3 linked regions of the Oryzias latipes genome follow. The protein of the gene in region 2 purifies or fractionates together with the protein of the main gene of each other region. This does not show direct contact. Links are inferred from orthologs where the notes say so. Each region holds a gene or a part of one and is shown on either strand. Other genes may lie near its edges.

Region 1 (4,322 bases), on a different chromosome or scaffold from region 2:
AATGTTTGAGGAGACACTTAAACTAAAGGAGCTCCTTTGTCTTAAAAAAAAGGGTATAGTTTCATGTTTAAATTAATTGCACTTGCAATTAATTTTTCATTCCCTTCTTTGCTCTCTGATTGATGAGTGTTAGTAGGTTGAGCAAATACCGTTTCCTGTTTTGCTAAACTTCAAGAATTTTTTCCAGAGTTAAACTTTTTTTTCTTTTCAAAGATGTTTGGGATTGTTTTTTTTTGTTTGCTTGTTTGTTTTTATCAAGTCTGAAGTCAAGCATTAGCATGTTTTTGCATTGTTTTCTCAGACCACAATTGCCTAATTTGCAGATATAATCTGACCTTGATCTATTATAAGTCCAGAAGTGTTTTTAGCGATTTTAATCATAATGTTTTTGTTTTGGCATTTTTGTCAGAAAGGGGATAAATAATACATTCTTAAAACTTTTTTAATCCTTTTTTTTAACAAGAAGAAGAAGAAAATAACTAAGGAAATTAATGTAACTAATTTACTAAAACATGTTTGGTTTGGGCAACATCTTTTACTAACATCGTTTATATTTGCAGGACTTGCACGTTGTGCTAAAAATCAATTGTTTATGAAACTGCAATTTTCTTGTAGCCTGGAAAAATAGGAAATCTGATTCTAAAATAAACAAGTGTGAAATATCTATTGTTTTACTGATAAGATGACGACGGCATTTTTAGCATCACTAAGCCAAATATTTTATTTATTTTGGTATTAAGAAAACTTTTTGCAGATATTTTTTGCATCTTTTTATGTAATTTTAGTAAATAAGTGTCGTCCCTTCTTTCACTTAGATTTGACATAATATTAGAATTTTCTAAGAGATTATGTGACTTTTGAAGTAAGATACCACTTCAGATAAAGAAACTGTTAATAATCATATGTTAATTTAGTAATTAACATAATTATTGTGACTGTATGTAGAAACATGTCATTGTTTTAGAAAAGGTGTGACAAAATATCGAATTTTACTTCTAGTTTTTCGGCATGTTTGTACAAAAACATTTTTTTTTATTCTGAAAAATTAGTTTTCAAACTCTTTATGTAGACTTTTTGTGAGCTTATTGTGACATCTATTGGTCAATTTATGAAATTACACATGTACGGTGTCCGTGAAAGACCTGTTTTTGTTGATCGAATTGGAGTTTTGTAAGTTGCTTTCGAATTTATGGGAAATTTGAATGTTATATGAATACAAACACGTCTCATCAGTGTCACTACTGCATGTGATGTTATATTAGTCCATCTCTAATGTAAATGTGAATATTTTCTTCGTTTTTAAACATAAATTTAAACCATTAGAGCGAATCTTCTCCGTAACATCTGGATGATAAAAGAAATTTACGAGCACCAGTGAAAGCACCATCCGTTTTCAACAGCGCCACCCTGCTTCTATTGGAAGCCTGCGTAGAAGAAGACCACCCCGGGCGGGAAATGTTTTGGAAACGAAAGAGTTAAGGAGTTTGTAGCTTCAGATCGAAGTCTTCTCTCTCACACGTCGCCATGAACAAATGAATTCGCGAGGAATTAAATATCATTTTCACAAAGGAGAACGAGTTCTGTGCTTTGAACCCGACCCTAGCAAGGCTAAAGTGCTATATGACGCAAAGGTAACGTTTTCCGCAAACTTTAGCGGGCATTGATATAAGTAATTACACTGTAATAACGGCTTTATGTTTGCAATGGGGTTTTAAAAAGCGCCTTGTGTTTTATTATGAGTGGCGTTTTCTGTCAATAGTAATTGTTGTCGCATCTTTTCCGGGTACGTTTGATTTAGATTTGTCGTGTGGAAAACAGCTTCCGAATAAGTTCTTGAAACTCTCCCAATAAAGCATTTTATGCATATAAAACTCACACGTTTAAGTTTTTGAAGAGTTATTTGTATGCAAATTTCCCAAAACGCACTAATCGATCGGTTTTGGAGCAGGAAGGTAGCACGGTGGCGTTTCGTCCAATCAAATTGGACCTCAGCGTGTCAACAAACAAACAAACCCAGCGCGGCTAACCCGAACAACGCTGTCGTTTCATGCAGCACAGTGGGGTTTCTGAGGTGGAAAAAGACGCCAAACATCGGTATTTTAACTTTTTTTCGCCATATGCATCGATTGCATGACTGTAGCACCGCCAGGCTAATGCTAAACGGCAGATATATGACGGAAAGCGGGGCACTGAAGGAAACCGATGCTAACGTCCGCTAGCTAGCAGCTAGCATAGGCCTGCTGGTAAACGCGATCATTTTTAAACGACGCAGACATTCAATTTTATTTTAGCCTAAATAAAAAAGAAATTATTGTTTGTTAATTTCGCTCAGATGCATGGGATATACAGAGGTTTTAAACCGTATTTCTCACGAATTAGCTGCTTCGTGCTAACTTGGCCATAAGTGACCTAATAAATCCGATATATTTACTAGTCGTTATTAATGTAACTCTTGATTTGTGGCTTTCTTACGTTATTTTAGGTCAGTTTTACGATTTTGCTGTCCTTTTTTGCCCTTTAGTGACATAAAATTTAATTACTATAGGAATAATTTTAATGTTTATAATATCCAGTCAGGACCATAAATATTTGGACAGAGACACATTCTTTCTAATTTTGTTTCTGTTCATTACCACAGTGAATTTTAAATAAAACCACTCAGACGCCATTGAAGTGCAGACTTTCAGCTTTTATTCCATGGGTCGAACTAAAAGATTGCATAAAAATGTGAAAAACTAAAGCATTTTATTTAAACACAATCCCTTCATTCCGTGGGCTCGTAAGTAATTGGACAAATGACATAACTGAAAACAAAATGGTCATTACTAATATTTGGTTGAAAACCCTTTGTTGGCAGTCATACTACAGCCTGAAGTCTTGAACTCATGGACATCACCAGATGCTGGGTTTTCTCCTTCTGAATGCTCTGCCAGGCGGCTTTCAGTTGCTGTTTGTTGTCTGAAGTTTAGTCTTCAACAAGTGAAATGCATGCTCAATTGGGTTGAGATCAGGTGACTGACTTGGCCATTCAAGAATATTCCACTTCTTTGCTTTAATAAACTCCTGCCTTGCTTTGGCTGTATGATTTGGGTTGTTGTCCATCTGTATTATGAAACGCCGCCCAATCAGTTTGGCTGCATTCACCTGGATCTGTGCAGACAGTATGTCTCTGAACACCTCAGAATTCATTGGGCTGCTTCTGTCCTGTGTCACGTCATCAATAAACACTAGTGTCCCAGTGCCACTAGCAGCCATGGACGCCCAGACCATCACACTGCCTCCACAGTGTTTTACTGATGATGTAGTGTGCTTTGGATCATGTGCTTCTCCACGCCTTCTCCATACTTTTCTCTTGCCATCATTCTGGTAGAGGTTGATTTTGGTTTCATCTGTCCAAAGAAGGGTTTTTCAGAACTGTGCTAGCTTTTTTAAATGCTATTTAGCAAAGTCCAATCTAGCCTTCCTATTCTTGAGGCTTATGAGTGGCTTGCATCTTGAAGTGTACCCTCTGTATCTACTTTCATGCAGTCTTCTTTTGATGGTAGACTTGGATATTGATACGCCTACCTCCTGGAGAGTGTTGTTCAGTTGGTTGGCTGTTGTGAATGGGTTCCTCTTCACCATGGAAATGATTCTGCCATCATCCACCACTGTTGTCTTCCGTGGACGTCCAGGTCTTTTTGTGTTGCTAAGTTCACCAGTGCTTTCTGTCTTTCTCAGGATGTACCACACTGTTGATTTTGCCACTCCTAATACTGTAGCAATTTCTGGCATGGTTTTTTTCTGTTTTCTCAGCTTAATGATGGCTCCTTTCACCTGCATGGAGAGCTCCTTTGACCGCATGTTGTCTGTTCACAGCAAAATCTTCAAAGTGCAAGCACGAGTCCTCTAATCAACTCCAGGCCTTTTATCTGCTTCACTCATAATGACATAACAAGGGAATTGCCCACACCTGCCCATGCAATAGCATGGAAGTCAATTGTCCAATTACTTAGGAGCCCATGAAATGAAGGGATTGTGTTTAAATAATGCTTTAGGTTTTCACACCTTTATGCAATCTTTTTGTTCAACCCATGGAATAAAAGCTGAAAGTCTGCACTTCAATGGCATCTGAGTTGTTTTATGTAAAATTCACTATGCTAATGTACAGAAACAAAATGAGAAAGAATGTGTGTCTGTCCAAATATTTATGGTCCTGACTGTACCTACGTGTTACTCTTGACATGCAGAGATTCCAGCTACTGGATGAATTTATACACATTAGGATGAGGCCTGCGGTTAAATATATTTAATTTATGATGAAATTTTAAGCCATTTTTTGA
Region 2 (4,234 bases):
TGTTGCAAACATCAGCGTCCAGAACAGGAAGGCCCCCCATATCACTGAAAAGAAACTTTATTGTAACTGGCGTCACTAACAATTATGTTTTTTTCCGTTTTTACCTTTTAATTTAGAAAATTCTGCAAATCTGAACACGTTTAGTTTAGAAGACTTAATACACTAGAGCCACACCTTCTGGACTTTGCGCTTTTGGGCGATGATGTCAGGCGCCATCATGTCTGCAGCAAGGTTCTCTCTCTTAGTTTGATAACAGCAGACACATCTGGAAAAAGAAATCTGTGTTTCAGGCTCCACCTGCTGCTGAAGATGGAAACCAGGAGGCTGAAGTTCCTCCAGACGTCCCGGTGTCCTCCTCCAATGAAAGCAGCGTGCGAGCGGATCCGTTTCCTCCTGGAAAGTCCCACTCCAGAGGAGTTCAGGGCCAGAGACGTCAGAACCAGATGAGGGGGCCGAGGAGAGGAGGCAGGACCAGGCCGCAGCATCCGAGAGCTGCCCCCATCACGGAGCACCTGGACAAACTCTCTCTGTCCTCTGAAGCACCTTTGAGGACCAAAGCTCCGCTCGGTTCTGAACAGTGGGCGCACAGGGACCCAGACTCGGGCCGATCCAGGACAGACGAAGAGGAATCTGCAGCGCAACAGGAGATGCAGCTTTTGCCCGACCATCAGGCCTCGCTCCAATCCGCCGTGGAATCCGAATGCTTAAAGGACTGCGCAGGCTCCGCTGGTGGCCGCAGCCATAGTGGAAGGAGGAGGGGTCCTTATCGACCCACCCAGCACGCCGGGCCTCCTGGACTCGGGCGCCATCACTGGGACGGTCGAGCTGCGAGAAGCAGAGGCGGACACCACCGGGGTCACGGCAGGGGTTTCCAGCAGAGGGTGGTGGAGAGGGGAAGGGAGGAGGTGCTATGACACAGGGCAGCAGGAGGGTCAAGCCAACATGTGTGTGCCTCCATCGTCAGCCTGCACAGATTTAAACCCTGCAACAGAAGAGACGCTCACTGGAACCTCAGACTGTCCTCGCCGCCGCCATGCTCCTTCATCCTCACTAACATCAGCTGCAGACAGCAGCTGCTTTACCTTGTGATGCCATGTGACCTGAAAGAGCTGCGATTAAAAAATGTTTGTGGATGTGATAATTGTGTTTTATATTGATATTTTTGTACAAATTCATTTGTGTTATTTGATCATTCTAACGTAGTTAAACCTATTTTTAAATTAAAACGTTCAGTTTTTGGAGCAGAAATGGAAAAGGCTTTTAAACTCTTATGGAATATGCACCGCTACGTAATGTACTACAAACGGTTATATACGGTCCGTTTGCCACAGGTCAGTCGGTAGGGCTTGTGGGAAATGTAGTCAGAGATCGTTCGAGGCGCCATCTTTTTTCCCCGGCAACCTGTGGTCGAACTGCGCAGAATCGCAGCGCGTGTTTGCGCAGAAGCGTCAGGGATGACGGGCGGGAGCGCCTTTCACAAGAACTACAGCAACAATAAGGACTCGGAACCCCGAATCGGTGTGGAAATGGACTCGAGTCGACCCGAGCACGAGCGGGGGGAGCTGGAAAGCAGCATGCCCGCCGCGTGCTCCTCCAACGGCAGCGGCGGGGAGGAGGACGAGGCGGAGGCCCACGGCCGGACACGAGAAGCCGGGGCCTCGAGTAATCAGCACACCCCGGAGGGAGGCGGGGTGCTCTGCGGCGGGAGGGAGCAGGAGGTGTCGGTGGAAATCGGAGTGACGTATTTGTGTCAAAGAGCGGACAAAACATGGCGTGAGTGAAGTTCCCGTTCCGGTAAAGCAACAGCAGTGAGTCGGTAGACGACAAAAATGAACAAATTAGCAGAAAAATGCTCAATTTAGAGAGGGAGGATGTAAACAAAAAACGCTGCCTAGCTGGTGTGTATTTTTGCTTCGATCATGTTAACAATACTGTCATTAAGGAAATAATTAGTTTAAAGGAATAAAAGGTTAAAGTAGATTTATTTTTTATTTTTATGACTGAGTGTTTGGCTCGCTGTTTCTGTTTGGTTTGTAAACACTGTTAGCATTTCATCAGCTGTTAGCATCATTGGACATCATTTGATGAACCACAACAACAACGATGTAAACAAAGATCAAATCTGCTTTAATTAGGGACCACAGGCCACACATTTCTAAGGTCCAGAGACAAAAGATGCTGACCACAAACGATAGAGCTTCCAATCATAAACACAGAAATACATAAAATACATCTATAGAGCGGAAATTAAGCAAGTTATTAATATTTTACGTCTTAATGATTGCCTTTGTTTTCGCGGGAAGACTCAGTAATCACCATTAGACATGTCATGTGATTCTGCCATTTTTGATATTTTTCAAAGGATCGTTCATTTTGGGTGATTACATGCGAGTGCAGTTTATTATCCTGCAGTAAGGGCTTGAACCTGTGACGCCTCTTTACCGTGCTCATTAATATAACTTCTCACGATGTGAGAGTTTTCTCCGTGTTTAAGGAGTAGGTTTTTATTCATCTTCACGAAGCTGTGAAATCGATCCAAACTCGTGAGAAAGCTGCCGTTGGCTCACAAATGTCCGCTAAGTTCCCTGTACCTTGTTCTGAATTGAAATCGAAGCATAAGCTATCCCAGTAAGCACCACCACGCATGTAGTAAACAGCATTATTTTTCTTTTTAAATGACATTCTGCTGTCTGGACTGCCTGTTTAATCTCCGTTTGTAAATCTGTTGATTGTTTTCAGACACAGCGGAGGTGATCCAGTCCCGGCTGAACGAGCAGGAGGGCAGGGAGGAGTTCTACGTGCACTACGTGGGCTGTAAGTACACTTCTGCTACCCCTCCTGGTCCTCCTCTGTGCGTCTCTTCACCTGATTCATCTGATGGTTCTTGTAGTCAACCGCCGTCTGGACGAATGGGTGGGAAAGTCCCGCCTGGCGCTGACCAAGACGGTGAAGGACGCCGTGAGGAAGAGCACTGAGGTTGGAGGCGTTGGGGATCTGGGAGACCAGCCTGAGAGGAAGATCACACGCAACCAGAAGCGCAAGCACGATGAGATCAACCACGTGCAGAAGGTGGAGACGTTTGCTTTGCGGCGTGGCTGTCAGTGATGCTGGTCGTGTCGGCTTAACGGCTTCCTTTTTCAGACGTACGCAGAGATGGACCCGACGACAGCCGCACTGGAGAAGGAGCACGAAGCGGTACGTGGACGTCCTCTCTGTGTGCTTTGACTGTCAGCCTGTGGAACTTCTCACCCTTTAATGGTTTCGTCTTTGGATGTACAGATCACCAAAGTGAAATACGTGGATAAAATCCAGATAGGAAACTTTGAAATTGACGCCTGGTACTTCTCTCCATTTCCTGAAGACTACGGGAAGCAGCCCAAGCTGTGGATCTGCGAGTACTGTCTCAAATACATGAAGTACGAGAAGACGTTCAGATATCACCTGGTCAGTTCAGCTCTCGTCCTCTTTCACATATCGGCAGCTGTCTGATTTACAACGATTTGAATAAAGAAATACTGAGAAAGGCAAATTTAGGTTTAATTATCTTTCTATACGTCTTTCATCATAAGAAAAATGCCACAAAAACATGTTCAAAACCCCAAAAACAACAAGTTTTATCGCCGTGGGTCTTTAAAGTTACTAAAAGTAAAACAAAAAACTAGACAACTGACTTTATTTATATTCTGTTCTGGTTTCATTTGATGCTCCTGAAATGTAGCAATAGATATTTTTGTAATAGACGTGTTTCCTGTATTTGGGTTCAATTATTTTCTGTTTTATTTTATTTTTTAAAGTTATCTTTAGTTGTGGACACATTATATTGGTTCACTTTAAACGCCTCTTGTGCCGTGAGAAGACGTCCGGTCTTTGCAGACGGACTGCCGGCTGTTTCTGACGGGAAGCTGCTGTTCTGCTTTGTGTTCGCTCACGCGTGTTTGCCTCCATTCAGGCTCTCCATGACGCAGCAGCGTGATGATGAAAACCAAGGAAAGTCTGACCCCCCCCTCTTCTTCTTTCAGTCTCACTGTCAGTGGAGGCAGCCCCCCGGCAAGGAGATCTACAGGCGGAGCAACATCTCCGTGTACGAGGTGGACGGGCGGGACCACAAGGTGAGCGTCCTGGAAACATCCATCTTCCAAATCCGCTGATTCCCTTTCGGGATCACGGGGTTGCTGGAGCCTATCCCAGCCTCTGTCGGTTGGAGGCCACACTCGCATTCAACTGTGGGTGGAAG
Region 3 (3,639 bases), on a different chromosome or scaffold from region 2:
TTGAAGTCTATTCTTTGAGGTTATTACAATACACTGTGGGATCAATAAACTCCCTTCACTTTATCCTTCAAAAAGAATGCATGTAGCATTATTCCAATCATTTATTTTAAGTGTTTGTTCTGTTGTTTTGGTGAAGTTTTATTTAAATAAAGAAGATGGACATCTGTAAATATACATTTGAAGAAATGCTTTACAATTTCTTTTGTTTATGTCAAAGAAACATTGATCACCATCAGAATAAGAAATATGCACGGAAATATGTTATCTTTTCGATCAATCTCATCCGTGCCGTCTCTCCTGTACAGAATGTGCTCAGTTTGCCAAATCTAAATAAATCTTGAATCCCGAGTAAATCTTTTTTATTCTATAATATTAGATTAATTTTTCTAAGGAGGTTTGAACTTTGAGAGTTTAAGCACGAGAAAAGTGTGAAAATGTCCACGTCTGTCTGAGAAAAGTGTTTAAAGAGGAGTGTAGGATTAAAGATAATTTACAGCCTTAAAACATCTGTATTCCTACTTTGCAAATGTCACTTATTTTGGGTTATTTTTAGAACATAACCCCTGTGATAAATGACAAAACACTGTATTCATCAAATGCCTTTTTTCATATTTTCTCTAGTATTTTCAGTTATAAGTCGTGGGATTCTCAATGGAGTTTTTATTTATTTATTTATTTTTACCAAATCCACAGATTTAAGGCTGGTTAATCCAGGTTTGGTCTAATAGAATAAGTCTATGTAACCATTGAAAGAAAAAAAGGGGCTCACCAAACATGTTTTAACCCCGTGTTGACCTTTCTTCTGGTTTTTACAGACTCGACTGTGGGGGGTGCAGCTCATCGTGGTGATGTGAAGACTGCTGGCAGGCGCACATCCGCACCACCTGCAGTAAGCACGCATGGTCAACAGCAGAGGGCGCTGCTGAGGGAGAAGAGCAAAGAGAACCAGCTGGACAGGATCAGCTGCCAGCTGCAGGACTCAGACAAGGGTGGCTTTGACTTTGGTCAGTATGATGCTGGGTGTCATTTTTATTTAAATAAAAAAGGATTCCTTTTTTTTATTTTGTTTATACATATTTCATGCTGTTCATCGTTGGTTTGACCTCGTACGATACACTTCTATTCAAGTACCAGTGGAATTATCTTGGCTTTACTTGGATTGGGCTTAATTCTTCTCACTCAATGGTCTCCAGGGTCTGTAAAAGACAAAACTAAGGAGAAACCAAAACAGAAGGACTTCCTCCGCATTAAACTCAAGAAGAAGAAGAAGAAAAAGAAAGCCAAGTCTGGTAAGAACCAGGTCCCTGGCACAGGGCGAGGTCGAAAAGCTGCTGCCCTGCATGTGCTCTGGCTGTGACATTGTGTGCAAAGTTAAAGCACCTCATTCACTCCTTTCTGTGTGCTGATCGAGCTTCTGTGTGTGTCCTGCTGGTCTGAGTCTTCAAGAAGCCACAGTTTATTTTAGAACCTAAGTTTTGGTAATAATAAGAGTTGTTTTGCCGCTCGAATGCAGACTAATCAAGAAGAAAATACTTTTTTCTGTCTCTTATTGGCATCCACTCACACACATACATATTTGAAGGGTTGACATGGACATTGTTGTACATCCTGCCTGGCTTCCTTTGGCCGGAGGCTTGATGAATTTGTGTTATATCCTCCTGACAAAGTTTGTCATCTGTAGAGGACACTTCTAAACCTGAATATCTCCCAACCCCTGCATACTACTGAATTAACTCACTATAATATCTACAGAGAACATTTGGGGATTTTCAATGATGTGAAGGGGTGGGGCTCTGGGATTTTTAGTTTTATTGGATTTAAAAATGTTTTAGAGGACACGTTTTGAAGGAAGTTTTTAATCAAATGTTTGTTGTCACGTTTTCCTCCTGGGCGCTGAGCATTTTCAAAGCTTACTTCTCTGTTCTACATCTGCTTCCCCCCTCCCTGTGTTAACAGACCACACAGGTAGTGAGGAGAATATTGACATTTCAGTATTGGGTCTTCACTCCAAATTGAATTTGCAACTCAAACCCCCCCTCTCACACAATCACAAACCCGAGGCCTACCCCAGCAGGCCTGGACACAGCTTCTCTGAGCAGATACATGTGGATGGTGGGTACCTTTGTGACGGTGTGAGAGTCTGTGTGTGTGTGTTAGTTTGTGCAGATTGTGTCTTTCTGTGAACGTCTTTGGCTCCTCTTGTTACGTTCTTCTGTTTTCTCTGGATTCAGTCCACCATGTGACAAATCTTCCTCCACCTTAAAACAAATGCTGCCGCTCCCATAGGAAGGCATGGTGGGCTGAAGCCTGAGCTGCTTGCTGCTCCTGCTTGCTTAATCACATAAATCAGATTTTATTTAGAGCTCACTTTTTTTTAACAGAGTTTTCAATCGGGTTAAACTGAATCCTTTTGTGTTGGTTCCTGTAGACGAGGACAGCATAAGTGACTGGTCCACTGACAGCTGCGGGTGGAGCGATGATGACTTCGACATGGATTTGGACGTCACTACTCCACCTCTTAGCACAGACTCTGGTGCCGTGGACACAAACGATCAAGAAATTGTCCGATGTATCTGTGAAGTGGAGGAAGAGAATGACTTCATGATTCAGGTGAGCTGGCAGTTTACTTTTCCAAAGGTTTGCTTTAAGGGACACGGCCTTTCAGTTGGTGAAATATGTTTCTCCTGTGTTAGTGTGAAGATTGTTTGTGCTGGCAGCACGGCACCTGCATGGGTCTGCTGGAGGACAACGTCCCGGACAGATACACATGCTACATCTGCAGAGACCCTCCAGGTAAACGAAGGAAGAACAAAGCAGTGGTAGCATGCCTTAAGTCATATTTGCTTTTTTTAATTTATTTTTTTAAATCCAGTTTAAATGCTTACAGGGTGGCCCCGGATCCTTGATGAAATCTTTTAAGGTCTTAGATTTAATTGACCAAAATAAGGCCATCTAAAATATTAAGTTGTCGTGAATGGTCTTAAATTTTTTTCTGGTCAACGCGATGCGACTTCCTGTCTTTAAAAAAAACTTTTTAGGATGTGCTGTGTCAGTAAGGTCGTGAACTGGTCATGAATCATTTAACCTCAACTACCTAGTTCTCTCACGCTTAGAAAGTGGAGAAATGGGGGTTACTCTTAGTGGTTAAAACTGGTTAGTAGTGAACTGTGATTTGCTAAAAGACATTTAAACTTGGAACAATGCGGTCATTTCGCATGTGTAGAGGAAACGGCTAGCTCTGGCTGTTTGCTTCATTCAAAGTGCTTATTATGAATGCATCAGGGCAAGATTTGGCCAATTGTCCCGGCCATCTGGGTATCGTGATGATGTCTTTTAAAAATTTGTATATTTTTATAGCATTATTTTTATTTTTCATCAATTGCTGTGAATATAATGCTAAGTTCACATGTAGCAAAGATGCTAAAAACTTTTGGCGATGGCTCCTCCCACATGCGTCAAGGCATCCACCAGGTTTATGGACACACTTTTGGACGAGTGTCAGGCAGTGAATTTGACGAACACAATGTCAATTCACTGCTCAAATGGAAGACACAGAAGGATGATGTTGAGAAATCCTATTTATTGTGAAGAGCTCCACGAAAGTGTCTGCAGGCACATGTTTGGGGTTAAGTGATCATT

Evidence for each region.
Region 1: the proteins of kat8 (region 2) and msl3 purify together in Homo sapiens (affinity purification with mass spectrometry; 4 studies listed by BioGRID and IntAct, with this or other methods). This does not show direct contact. The link is inferred for Oryzias latipes from reciprocal best matches to the Homo sapiens genes KAT8 and MSL3.
Region 3: the proteins of kat8 (region 2) and phf20 purify together in Homo sapiens (affinity purification with mass spectrometry; 3 studies listed by BioGRID and IntAct, counting the BioPlex papers as one, with this or other methods). This does not show direct contact. The link is inferred for Oryzias latipes from reciprocal best matches to the Homo sapiens genes KAT8 and PHF20.

What each region holds. Positions count from the first base shown.
Region 1 is NC_019860.2:20,774,477-20,778,798, forward strand, and holds the start of msl3 (male-specific lethal 3 homolog), read left to right. Parts: upstream 1-1,402; 5' UTR 1,403-1,532; coding exon 1,533-1,631; intron 1,632-1,965; exon of another isoform or gene 1,966-2,047; coding exon of another isoform or gene 2,048-2,071; exon of another isoform or gene 2,072-2,094; intron 2,095-4,322. UniProt on the Homo sapiens protein: Non-catalytic component of the MSL histone acetyltransferase complex, a multiprotein complex that mediates the majority of histone H4 acetylation at 'Lys-16' (H4K16ac), an epigenetic mark that prevents chromatin compaction.
Region 2 is NC_019866.2:2,389,664-2,393,897, forward strand, and holds the start of kat8 (histone acetyltransferase KAT8), read left to right. Parts: upstream 1-1,373; 5' UTR 1,374-1,454; coding exon 1,455-1,773; intron 1,774-2,739; coding exon 2,740-2,814; intron 2,815-2,890; coding exon 2,891-3,069; intron 3,070-3,141; coding exon 3,142-3,195; intron 3,196-3,279; coding exon 3,280-3,444; intron 3,445-4,019; coding exon 4,020-4,109; intron 4,110-4,234. Other genes in the region: E3 ubiquitin-protein ligase RNF25, read left to right, coding at 291-914.
Region 3 is NC_019863.2:26,153,429-26,157,067, forward strand, and holds part of phf20 (PHD finger protein 20), read left to right. Parts: intron 1-815; coding exon 816-1,004; intron 1,005-1,193; coding exon 1,194-1,289; intron 1,290-1,956; coding exon 1,957-2,112; intron 2,113-2,428; coding exon 2,429-2,610; intron 2,611-2,693; coding exon 2,694-2,793; intron 2,794-3,639. UniProt on the Homo sapiens protein: Methyllysine-binding protein, component of the MOF histone acetyltransferase protein complex.